Linked DNA regions of Elephas maximus indicus. The main gene of each other region encodes a partner of the protein of the gene in region 3 in a complex. Links are inferred from orthologs where the notes say so. Each region holds a gene or a part of one and is shown on either strand. Other genes may lie near its edges. The genes, in order: CHRM2, GALR1 and GNAO1.

The links.
Region 1: the proteins of GNAO1 (region 3) and CHRM2 are in contact, whole or in part, in a cryo-EM structure (PDB 7T8X), measured with the Homo sapiens proteins. The link is inferred for Elephas maximus indicus from reciprocal best matches to the Homo sapiens genes GNAO1 and CHRM2. Residues at the interface, in NP_066268.1 of Homo sapiens: Lys24, Ile28, Ala31, Lys32, Leu195, Tyr320, Asp337, Ala338, Thr340, Asp341, Ile343, Ala345, Asn347, Leu348, Gly350, Cys351, Gly352, Leu353, Tyr354; in NP_000730.1 of Homo sapiens: Asn58, Arg121, Cys124, Val125, Pro128, Leu129, Thr130, Pro132, Val133, Lys134, Thr136, Ile209, Ser213, Lys214, Ser215, Arg216, Ile217, Arg381, Lys384, Val385, Thr388, Ile389, Cys443.
Region 2: the proteins of GNAO1 (region 3) and GALR1 are in contact, whole or in part, in a cryo-EM structure (PDB 7XJJ), measured with the Homo sapiens proteins. The link is inferred for Elephas maximus indicus from reciprocal best matches to the Homo sapiens genes GNAO1 and GALR1. Residues at the interface, in NP_066268.1 of Homo sapiens: Ser264, Asn316, Glu318, Tyr320, Asp337, Asp341, Ile343, Ile344, Ala345, Asn347, Leu348, Arg349, Gly350, Cys351, Gly352, Leu353, Tyr354; in NP_001471.2 of Homo sapiens: Thr70, Arg133, Ala136, Ile137, Ser140, Arg141, His226, Leu227, Leu231, Asn233, Ser235, Lys236, Lys237, Ser238, Ala240, Ser241, Lys244, Thr245, Thr248, Leu306, Ser307, Glu308, Asn309.

What each region holds. Positions count from the first base shown.
Region 1 is NC_064826.1:13,076,615-13,080,356, forward strand, and holds the start of CHRM2 (muscarinic acetylcholine receptor M2), read right to left. Parts: upstream 2,317-3,742; 5' UTR 2,223-2,316; intron 1,968-2,222; 5' UTR 1,835-1,967; intron 1-1,834. UniProt on the Homo sapiens protein: The muscarinic acetylcholine receptor mediates various cellular responses, including inhibition of adenylate cyclase, breakdown of phosphoinositides and modulation of potassium channels through the action of G proteins.
Region 2 is NC_064829.1:84,371,156-84,374,897, forward strand, and holds the start of GALR1 (galanin receptor type 1), read left to right. Parts: upstream 1-1,261; coding exon 1,262-1,927; intron 1,928-3,742. UniProt on the Homo sapiens protein: Receptor for the hormone galanin. The activity of this receptor is mediated by G proteins that inhibit adenylate cyclase activity.
Region 3 is NC_064839.1:23,239,181-23,242,922, forward strand, and holds the start of GNAO1 (guanine nucleotide-binding protein G(o) subunit alpha), read left to right. Parts: upstream 1-1,417; 5' UTR 1,418-2,167; coding exon 2,168-2,285; intron 2,286-2,505; coding exon 2,506-2,548; intron 2,549-3,742. UniProt on the Homo sapiens protein: Guanine nucleotide-binding proteins (G proteins) function as transducers downstream of G protein-coupled receptors (GPCRs) in numerous signaling cascades.

The DNA.
Region 1 (3,742 bases), on a different chromosome or scaffold from region 3:
CAGCTCGTTACCCCCAAGTTTCCAAGGCGCCTCGCTTTCAGAGCCCTCTCAATTCCGTGACACCACAATGGCCGGAATGGGGCGAAGAGCGGTCTCCCCAGTGCCTGGCACCTGGACTTCCCTGGGCCGGCAGAGAAAGGTGCCGCCCGGGGTCAAGCCGAGCGGGGCGGTGGCCTGCGGCGCTGCAGCTCCCAGCGCCCTGAAGGCTCCTCACAGCCAGAACGCCGTGTGCCACGTCCCCGGAGCCTGCCTCCACCCCCCAATCCAAAGCCGGGTGTCTCGCCGGTTTTTCCATGGCCCCAGGGTTCCTCTCCCCAGTGCGGGCTGGCTACCCTCCTGGCCACCCTCTGCGGGGCGGCGGGGCGGGACCGCTTGTGCACTGGGCGCCGGCGATGTGTGGCGGCATGTGGGGAAGTGCGCCGGTGTTGCTGTCTGCATGTATAGGGGACGGGAAACCACACGGCTACCAGTGCCACCCAGCGCTAAGAAAAAGAGAAAGAAAAGCAAAACAAACAAAACAGAAAAGAAGTAGGGGAAATAGAAAGTCGATGGGGGATTCTGGGGCTTGAGGCCGGGGAGCAGTCCGGGGGCTGCGCGCTGGGGCGGGCGCACTCGGAGCCCTGGCGGCCGCAGTCTCGGCCCAGCCGTGGCCGTGAAGTGACACAGGGACACGGGGCGGGGACGGCTTGGGCGAGATGACAACCTGCCTGAGGCGCTGCCTCCATCTCTCTGCACTCCTCCCGTCTGAGTGCCTGCCGCACCGGTGTTTCCAGGCACGCCGAGCCTAGACCTCGCGGCCAGGGCCAGGCGGGCTTGGCCACCCGGCCTTGGACGATTTTTGGCTCAGAGAGGTCTCGAGGATGGCGGCAGGCACAAGGGAAGAAGATAGGGTTGCGGGCGCTGGAGAGAGTGGCGGGGTGCGTTCCTCATTGTCGGTAACTCGGGGCATTTTCCGCCGACCGCTCCAGCAGGGCCGCCCCCACCCAGGGGCGCACAGGCCCGGCAGGCGCGCAGGAGGGATGTCCCTGCTGTCGGTCCGGCGCCTTGCCAGCCCCCGTGCTACAGGTGAGTGGCTGGCGCCAGGCCCCAGGTGCTGACGGCGGGAACCAGCGGGGGCCAGCGGCCCTGACTCCTACCCGGAGCACCACCAAGGTGGCCGGGGCCGGTCGTGAGGGGTGGGCGGGGTGGCAAAGCTGGAGACCCTGTCCCCGACTTGGCCGGACAGAGACCTTGTGCGCGGGGACAAAGTGGGATGGGGATCCAGAAGGCCCCCTCCCCGTTTCTGGGACCCTTTCCCCAGTCTCACCCCCCCCCCCCGCCTTTCCTTTTGGCGGCGGTTCACAGCTGCAGCGCCTCGGTCCCGCGACCCAGAGCGGCCGCCCAGAGGGCTTCTCCGGAGGCGGAGGCGGGGACCGCGCGGAGCCGGGCTACCCCGCAGCCACCAACGCGCACGGACAGGAGGCCAGAACCCCAGCAGGAGGGGCTCTAGGCGGGAGAGGCGAAGCTCCGCTTGCCTTTTCCATGACTGCATCTGAGGGGAGAGGGCGGGCGAGGGCGCAGGGATGGCGGCTGGAGAGGGCACGCTGCCCGTGCAGGCGCAGCCCCCGGCTCCCCTCTGCCTTCTCCACGTTCCACAGAACTCCGCGCCCCTTCCTCCCAGACCGGTGCTCGCTGCCATCTGCCCTCCCAGCCCCGGGGCCAAAGTTTCCGTTGACGAGTCTGTACCGAGGGGGACCACTCCCCAACCCCCAGCTCCACCTCTGCGCCCTGGTCCCAGCTCCAGGAGGGCCCCGCGCGGCTTGGGGCTGCGTGGGCACGGGGCGCGGGCTCATACCTGCTCTGGCTGCGATCTGCGGGTGAAGGCTGCGCCAGCGGAGCCCTTCGCCGGTTCTGGGCCACTGGCTGGGGCGCGAGCTGCGCACCGCTCAGAGTCCGGAGCCCGCCGCCGGCTCGCTGTCTCCCTGGTTCTTGCAAGAGAAAAGGCAAAGATGAGTTGGTGCCGCGCCGCCCTGAGGGGTGGGGCGGGGAGAGGCGGGAGAGCAGCCCCGGGCTTGGTAAGGAGCTGCGGGCTCGGGCGCGCGCCGGCAGAGTCGCGCTCCCCGCGCCAGTCCCAGCCGCTTGGAGCGTCTGGAACCCGGTGGCGGTTGAGACTGGAGTGAAATGGACGCTGCCCCCGCCCGCCACACCAAACACCAAAGGAGATGCAAACCAGACTTTCAAACCTGGCTTTCACGGAGAAGATGAGTCGGGAGAGCGAAAGAGAACCGAGACCTGGGTGGACCTGCGAGCTGGGCAGGATTCATTTCTTCACCAAAGTGCTTGGGGAAGGAGTGATTAGTGCGGAGGGCAACACCTACTCCGGGTGCCTCTGGCTATGTCCTAGCGGGATGTGCGATTTCAGGGCTTTGGCCAACCCGCAGACTGGTGTGCATGCGTGTGTGTGTGTGTGAGTGTGTGCGCGCGCGCGCTCGATGGGTCCCTGTGCCCAGGCGCCTTTGGTATGGCAGGAGAGCGCGTCTGTGTTCGTGCGTGTGTGTCCGATTAGCTGCAATGGGCGGACAATTTCTGGAGAGAACATTTACAATTTTCTTTCAATATGACAGGATTAGTTGCTGTTGAAGGCGCTCCTCCAATGAAATCTCCTCTGCTCTCTGATTTGACGGTGCTTCTGAGCAAATATGACAGCCTTTTCTCCAGGTTTCCTTCTGCTCCTCTCCACGTCCATCCCGAGCCCAGCTCTCCATCTGCAATGGATGTAGATCAGAACCTGTACAATCACCACCCCGCCCCCTTGGCCCAGCTCCATTCTTGCAAGTTTATGATCGCTTAGAAAGATTACAACATATTGGCAAGAACTCAAAGCTGATTTCTGATCGCTGAAGATACTTGAGCCCGGTTTTCCAGGTGTTAGAATGAATCCGTTATGCTTTGTAAACATAATCCTGGTAAACTATTCATAGATTGTTGGTTTCTTGGAGGGACATTGGCATTTTTTTTTTTTAACAGGAGTCAATATCCATGTTTTCCTCAACTGTTAGGCATTAGACTACACAGTATTCATGGCGTTTTGGTGGATTTGTGATCTTCGTGGGGGGGGGGGATAAAAATGTTTGAATCAGCTGTAAGTTTTCTTTCTTTATTTTAATGAGAAATTGCTTCCAGCAGAGTACCCATTATTTTTAGGTATTAACCCCATTATTGTTTCACAAATTGCATCTAATCAACTCATTAGATTAAGTAGGCTCTCCAGTGATGATCAGAGAATAATCTGATTCCCTGACATAGCTGATGACAAGACTTGTATTTGTGAAAGCGTGTGTATGAAGTTAATATCAACATATGATATATTTTACAGGCTGCATTTGTCTCATCCACTTTCTGCAACTTAACAAGAAGCGTTGAAATCTTAAATGGAATAACCCGGAATTACGGACATCACCTTTTAGATCACAGAGATGAAAATCAAGTTAAGGATGTCCACTCCTCTGTTAGGTGTCGAAAGGCATGTTGTTGTTGTTGTCAGGTGCCATCGAGTCGGCTCCAACTCATAGTGATCCCGTGTACAACAGAACTAAACACAGCCCCATCCTGTGCCATCCTCACAATCGTTGCTATGCTTGAACCCATTGTTGCAGCCACTGTGTCAGTCCATCTCATTGAGAGCCTGCCTCTCCTTTGCCGACCCTCTACTTTACCCAGAATGAAGAACTTCTCCAGGGACAGGTCCCTCCTGTTAGAATGT
Region 2 (3,742 bases), on a different chromosome or scaffold from region 3:
TTTCTGTAAAAAAAAAAAAAAAAGAAAAAAAAATTTTTTTCTTTTGGCATAGCCACGTCTTACTGCAGCGATACGATATGAAACATTTTGCAACTTTACAAATATTTCGTATGTCAGTACTTCTGTTTATGACACTTGGATGAGTAACATAAGGCAAAAATGATCTCAAGTTGAGTGAGGTCAACACGACTCATATCCCCTGACCTTCTCAGACACGTTTAAGAAGAAAATTCAAAAAAGGCCGTTCTGTTTTCCTCCTGGCCACGTGGGGGGTGGGGGTGGAGGTGCCTAGGCAGCAAATTTTACCAAACTCCAGGTGGCAGCGCCAAGCGCATTTTCGTTTTGCACGTGGACACAGCCAACCCTGGATTTCTTGGGGTTTATTCCTGGGACAGGAGGCGCTCTCACTGACCGCGACCCAGGAGGGAGGGAGAGAAGGAGCAGTCCTCAGAATGAAGAAGGCTGCGCACCCGCCGCCTCCGTGCGCCGAGAACGCCCAAGCACGTCCAGCTCCCAGCGCACTGGGCCAGTAACCGCATCAGGCGAGCAGCAGCCCCAGATGAACCCGGAGCTCCGCGCCTTGCAGAGAAGAGAGTGCGCGGCTGAGCCCAGCAGGGAGATAGGCGGTGACCCGTCCCATTAGGACGCGACCAGCCTCCTACCGAGCGTGGTGACTTCCCAGGGACGGGGGAGGCACCTAGCCGGCCGGAGTCCTCGCTCCCTCTCAGTTGCAACCAAGGAGCCCCTGCGCACAACACTGCCGACCAACCAGGAAAGCGTAGAAGCGCTCTCGCTCTGTGGACTCCTTCCAGCCCCCGCAAACATTGAGAGGGAAGGGGAGCCTGGAGGAGCTCCAGGAGTACCGCCACGCCGGAGCCCTCGCCATCGGCCGCAGCAAGCAGGGCGCTTGGAGCAACAGGTGCGGCCGGCAGCCACTCCCGGCGCTAGCGCACGCCGCCAGCCGGGAGTGGAGCTAGTAAGGCTGTGGGAGGGGCTCCACCAAGGCCACAGCCCGCGCGTCCCTACAGCGCGGATCCGTGGCGGCGCCGCGGGCGGACCGCCGGGATCGGGGCCCTGGCCGCCCCCATCCCCGGGATAGCCGCTAGCGCACCCGACTCCCGTCTCACCGGCGGCTGCACAGCTAACGCGGGGCCGCGCGGTGTCGTGCGCCTCGAGGGCAGCTCCGGCGCGGGTACGCGAGCCCAGCTCTGGGCTGGGACCGCCGGCGTCCTCACGCTCCCCGCGCCCCGGCGCCGGGGCAATGGAACTGGCGGACGGGAATGTCAGCGAGGGCAACGCTAGCGGGCCTGAGTCCGGCGGCCCCGAGCCGCTGCCTCTGCTGGGCATCGGCGTCGAGAACCTGGCCACGCTTGTGGTGTTCGGCCTCATCTTCGCGCTGGGCGTGCTGGGCAACAGCCTCGTGATTACCGTGCTGGCGCGCAGCAAGCCGGGCAAGCCGCGCAGCACCACCAACCTGTTCATCCTCAACCTGAGCATTGCCGACCTGGCCTACCTGCTCTTCTGCATCCCCTTCCAGGCCACTGTGTACGCGCTTCCCACCTGGGTGCTGGGCGCCTTCATCTGCAAGTTCACCCACTACTTCTTCACCGTCTCCATGCTGGTCAGCATCTTCACCCTGGCCGCGATGTCCGTGGACCGCTATGTGGCCATCGTGCACTCGCGGCGCTCCTCCTCGCTAAGGGTGTCCCGCAACGCGCTGGTGGGCGTCGCAGTCATCTGGGCGCTGTCCATCGCTATGGCCTCGCCCGTGGCCTACCACCAGCGCCTCTTCCACCGCGGCGCCGGCAACCAGACCTTCTGCTGGGAGCAGTGGCCCAATCAGCGCCACAAGAAGGCCTATGTGGTTTGCACCTTTGTCTTCGGGTACCTGCTGCCGCTGCTACTCATCTGCTTCTGCTATGCCAAGGTGGGCGGGCGGCGCGCGTGAGGGCCTGGGGCGTCCACTTTTGTTTTCTGGGCTCTTCTGTGTGGAGAGCCTTCTCCACTCAGTTTTGCCCTCGCCTCTGCTTGGGTTTGCCGCTAGCGATTGCACAAGAAAGTTATTTGGAGTTTGAGAAATGTTGGAGACAGTATGCCCTTCACTTCCCAGATGTCCCTAGACGGCTCTCGCCTCCCCTCTCGGTTCCTGCAGCCTTGGCAGGAGAGGCGAGCTCAGCGCTCCCACCCCGCCCCCCTCAACTGGTGAAGAGCCGGCTCTGCTTTCTAACTCTCTGCCCCAGATCATCCGCTCGAAGAAATGAGGGTTGGAGGGACCGTAGGGCGCGCGCGCGGTGGCATGGTGGAGGGGCTTGTGGTACAGTTGCGGTCCCCGCGGCGCGCAGGGTGTGCGCTTGCCAAGAGAGGTTTTGCGGACACCCGGCTCTGGGAAGCCGCTGCTCTCGGGGGCAGAGCCACGCAGTTTATTGTACACACAAGTTTAGCTTAGAAAACCGCAAGTCGTAAACCAGTATTTCTGCACTTAGTCTTGGCTGGAGTGTCCAGAGAGGTTTGGAAGGAAGGAAACTGGAGGCATTGTGTTTCCATTTGAGTCCTGTTAGAAAGGCTGTGTAAACAATATGAAGTGGTTCAGGTCCAAAACCGAAACCAAACCCGTTGCCGTCGAGTCGATTCCGACTCATAGCTACCCTGTAGGTCACAGTAGAACTGCCCCATAGAGTTTCCAAGGAGCGCCTGGAGGATTTGAACTGCCGACCTGTTGATTAGCAGCTGTAGCACTTAACCACTACACCACCAGGGTTAGGTTAGGGGGAGTCTAAATCTCGGACTCTAGAGAAACACTCCGGACGCCTACCTGATTTCACTTCTGGCCTCTTCCTCACTGGGCAGACTGTTCTTGCCCTCCCTGTGCAGAACCTGGCCAGCTCCCTAAACACACCTGCTCTTTCATGAACAACATAAGATTTTGAAGATTTCATACATAATACCATATGGTGGCGACTTATGGGTTACACCCTAATATCTCCCAAGGCATTGTTTTCAGAGTAGTATCACCATTAGAAAAACACCAACATTCCCACCAATTTAACTTCATCTCTTTGTCTCTGATTTTATTTCTGCTAAGGCTGTGGCTGTAGAACCCTGAATAAATAGAAGACAGTGGTAGCAACAACAGTAATTCTTATTTTTCCAGAAAAATGTTTAACATAAACCATCTGATATGGGGTTCCCCCTCCGTCATCAATATAGAGTTGTATCTATATTTTGAACGGGAATAATTTTGGATATAATCTGAAAGAATGACTACACCAAGGGATTATATATAAAGAAATACAGTGGAGATAGGGAATTTGGAAAATAACTCTCAGTTATCTGGAAAATGGCGGATCTATTTATTTTGTTGTTAGGAGCTGTCAGGTCAATTCCTACTCATAGCAAACTCGTGTGTCTACAGAGTAGAACTGCTCCGTAGGGTTTTCTAGGCTGTAATCTGTACAGGAGCAGATCACCAGGTCTTTCTCCCTCAAGCCCCTGGGTGGGTTCAAACTACCAACATTTTGGTTAGCATCTGACCACTTAGGTCTTCACCACCAAGGCTCCTTTCTATATTTAGTGTCCCGCAAATTTGAAACAAAGGCTGGTTCTACCTGTCTCACGCGTTATCTCACTAATCTGCAAAGCAACCCCACGGGTTGGAACTGTTGTCTCTATTTTATTGATAAGGGAACTGAGTTTGGAGGAGTGATGTGACTGACACCAGATTATGAAGCTGGTAGATGATTCC
Region 3 (3,742 bases):
TTGCAAATGTATTTTTTGCTGGTTAACATTTCCAAAACTGGAGTTTTTTGGGGTTTTTTTTCCTATTGTTGAGTTTGCTTTCAGAGCCACAGAAATGCCCAACTGTTAGAAAAAACAGTTCCCACTGGCCACTCGTTCTTATTCCCACACAATCTTTCCTCTCGGACCCTTTCTCTAGAAGGGCCCCTGGGGCTGTCTGGTGGAACTAATTGTAAAACCATTTTGTGCAGTAAGAATTAACTGCTTCAAAGTCTCAGAGACCACCCAGAACAGGCCCAATCTTTGGCAAATTTGTACTTGTTTCCTTAATATTTGATTCATTGAGTTAACTGACCCAGGTTTCTGGGTCTTTATTTAAGATGGGAAAAAATGGCTCGAAAGATAAAAGAAGAAAATCTCTTCTTCTTTCACCAAAAATATTTAAAATGCATTTTGTGTTTGTGGCCGGGGCAGGACGAGAGATTTCGTGCACAGACCTCAACCAAGCTAAGTCATTCGAAATGTGCAAAAGCGTTTCAACTATGTTCAGGGAGCAAGCAGTTGCAAGCAGCTCACGCTTGCATTAGAATCTGTCCCTCTCCAAAGCTTCCCGAGTGTGGGAACTCTCCTGCCCTGGTGACGGCGGGAAACCCTGAGGCAAGGTCAGCGATGGCAAGGCGGGGAGGAGCCCCTGGAGAGCAGGCCCTGGCTTTTTTTCATCCTGCCGTGTGCTTCTCACAGCCTTGCCTCTCACATATTAGGTGCTCAATAAATGCTTGTGTAACGCAGAAAACGAAAAACCCAAATTTGCCCAGTGGCCTGGGCCGTTGACGCGAATCATCCGGAACGCAGGTTGATTCAGACCCACTACCTCCACCCGTTTACGGAGGTAACTGGCTGCTACGGCCTCAGCAGCCCAAGAGTAACCAAGAAGGCGAGCGGCTGGAGACAAGATGGAGAGGGAGCCGGAGAGAAAAAGAGGCCGCGCGGGGCGCTAGCTGGGGAGAGGCGGGTTAGGGGGGGCCCACCTGACCGCCGTGCCGGCGACCCAGCCCCGCGCTCCCATTGACAAGGAGGTCCGCGCAGTCCGCGCGCGGGGCGGGGGCGGGGCTCCCCGGAGCGCGCTCTCGGCCTCAGGCCCCGCCCCTGCCCGGCCGCGCACGCGCCCGCCCCGGGGGAGCCGCAGACCCGAAGGTGCTGGGGGAGGGGAGGCCGCGTCGCGCGCGCGCCGCCACGAACTGACGCGGGCCCGGTGCGCGCGCCTCCCCCCGCCGCCCTCCGTCGCAAGCCTTCCCAGTCCCGAGGGCCCAGCGCGAGGCCCTGCTGACGTCAGCGGGCGGCTCGCGGTGCTGGGTGCGCAGAGCCGCTGGCGCACTCGCGCGCTGCGCTCGCAGCCACCCCCCGTCGCTGCCTGGGCTCTGGCGCGCGCGCCCGCTCTCCCTTCATTTTTTCCCCTCCCTCCCTGCCTCTCTCTCTCTCTCTCTCCTTCCCCCGCGAGCTCCCGGCTGCCCGCGACTCCCTCGCGCTCTCCGTCTCTCTCTGGTAGGCTCCACCGAGCAATGAGAGCTCTGGGAGGCAGCGCCGCCGCCCCCTAGAGACCTGCCCCCGGCCCGGCCCCGTGCCCAGCCCTGCCCAGCGCGCGGGGGTCGGCGACGGCGCTGCGGACGCACCGACGGCGGAGGGCCGGCGATGCACATGCACTAGCGGCACCCCCTAACTCACTCCCTCCACACCCCGCGCCGCCGCCGCCGCCGCCTCCTCCTCCTCCGGCAGCAGCGGCAGAAGGACCCACCCTGCCCCCCACCACACCCTCCGCCGGCTCCGGCTGCGGCTCCAGCCTCGACTATTATTCTATTTATTTTGGGTGGTGCACAAGCCTCAGTGCCTGCAGCCCGCGCCTCCCTGGCCCGCGGCCGCCTCCTCCCTCGGCTCCGGAACCCCAGACCCCGACCACCCGCGTCTCAACACCTCCAGACCCCTGCCAGCTGCCTCGAGTCTCCGTTGCTGAAATTTGTTAGCGGCGGTCTTTTGGGGGAGTTCTGGTCTCCCGACATTTTTGTTTTCAGCCAAGGGGAGGATTTTTTTCCCCCTTTGAGCCAGGCTCTGCTCTCCGGGGGGGTGGGGGGCTCGTCGAGTCGGGGAGCCGTGCCAGCCGAGTCGTGCGGGCTGTGGCAGGGAAGGGGCCACCATGGGATGTACTCTGAGTGCAGAAGAGAGAGCCGCCCTCGAGCGGAGCAAGGCGATTGAGAAAAACCTCAAAGAGGATGGCATCAGCGCCGCCAAAGACGTGAAATTACTCCTGCTGGGTAAGGGCTACGTCTGCCACCCCCATTCCCCGACCCCGGCCACTCCGCACTTCCCTCAGCCACCTCCCCCACCCCACCCGCTCCCGGGGAGACCTGGTCCCCAAATGGGCACCACCATGTGCCCAGGGTCGCCGACCCCCAGCATGCCTTATCTCTACTCCCCCTGTTTCCTTAAGCTGACACTCACCAGTTTTCCCCCCTCCTGTCTGTGTCCCAACAGGGGCTGGAGAATCAGGAAAAAGCACGATTGTGAAGCAAATGAAGTAAGTCACTGTGGCATTGGGATTTGTACTTTTATTAAGAATAATTTTTAAAATCATTTTCATTACCTTGCTCATTCCACATTGCTCTCCAGGCCTGGTTTTTAATTCATGTATACACACACACACACCTCGATTTGGCTCCCCTCCCCGACACCCTACGTTGGTTCTGGGGTCCTCCACTCCAACTCCAGGGTGGGTGGGTTTTTTGTTTGTTTTTGTTTTTTTGAGGGGGGGAAGCGCCTGTAGTTATATGAATGACAGTGTCCGCCATATTGATCAGAACATCACACTATTGGCATGATTATGATATTACTCCTGCTCGTGGGGTGTTTCGTGTGTCTCTCTGCTCCATTTCAGTCTCTATCTCTGTTTCATTCTGTCTCTATTCCCCTTCCTCCTCCCCCCATCCCCCTCTCGTCCACAATCCCACTTTCCCCTGCTCTTCTCCTGGGGCACTGATTTTGAACTTGGCTAAAACATGGAGGGGACCCAGCCCTAGACTGGGGTGCAGGATCAAGTGTCTGCTGTTCTTGGATTTGGTGCTGAATTGGAGGCTGTACTTTCTGCCTCTTCCTCTCCACCGCCAAGGTTGAGGGTGGGGAAGGGGGCAGAGGACGAGAATTAGGGGAGGGGTCGTGTGTTGGGGGAAGGGAGTGAGTTTCCAAGCGGATGTGACTGGCACAGCTGTATCCAAGGCAGAGGTGGAAAGGGGACGCTGGTGTGAGGCTTAATGCCCGCCTCCTTGCTGCCCCCGGTCCCTCTCCGCCCCCACCCTCCCAGCGTTTGCTCTCCTGACGCCGGCAGTTTTCGATCACTCTGTGGCCTTTATCATTGTGTTTATTTACACTCTGCATAGGCCGTGTTCCGTGTAACCTACCCACAATGCGGATTTCAGGCCCCACTTGCCGCCGCCCCCTTTTGCCTTAGATATCAGTTTCCCCTCCTAATTAACTGGAGGTGGATTTGAGTGATGGTTGAAAATTAAAACAAAATGGGATATTGCTTCTCTTCTACACTTTCTCAATAAGGAGCCTCGCCCCTCCTTCCCACTCTCAGGCTGGCTTCTTGCCCACTCCACTTGGCAGTTCCTGGTGAGCTCTTGGGCAGCTCTGCTTGGGGAGGGGGTGGCTGGTGGGGAAGGGGTGCAAGCCCTCGGGGCCTCCTGGCCTGGCAGTTTCCCTTGGCCTGTCAGTT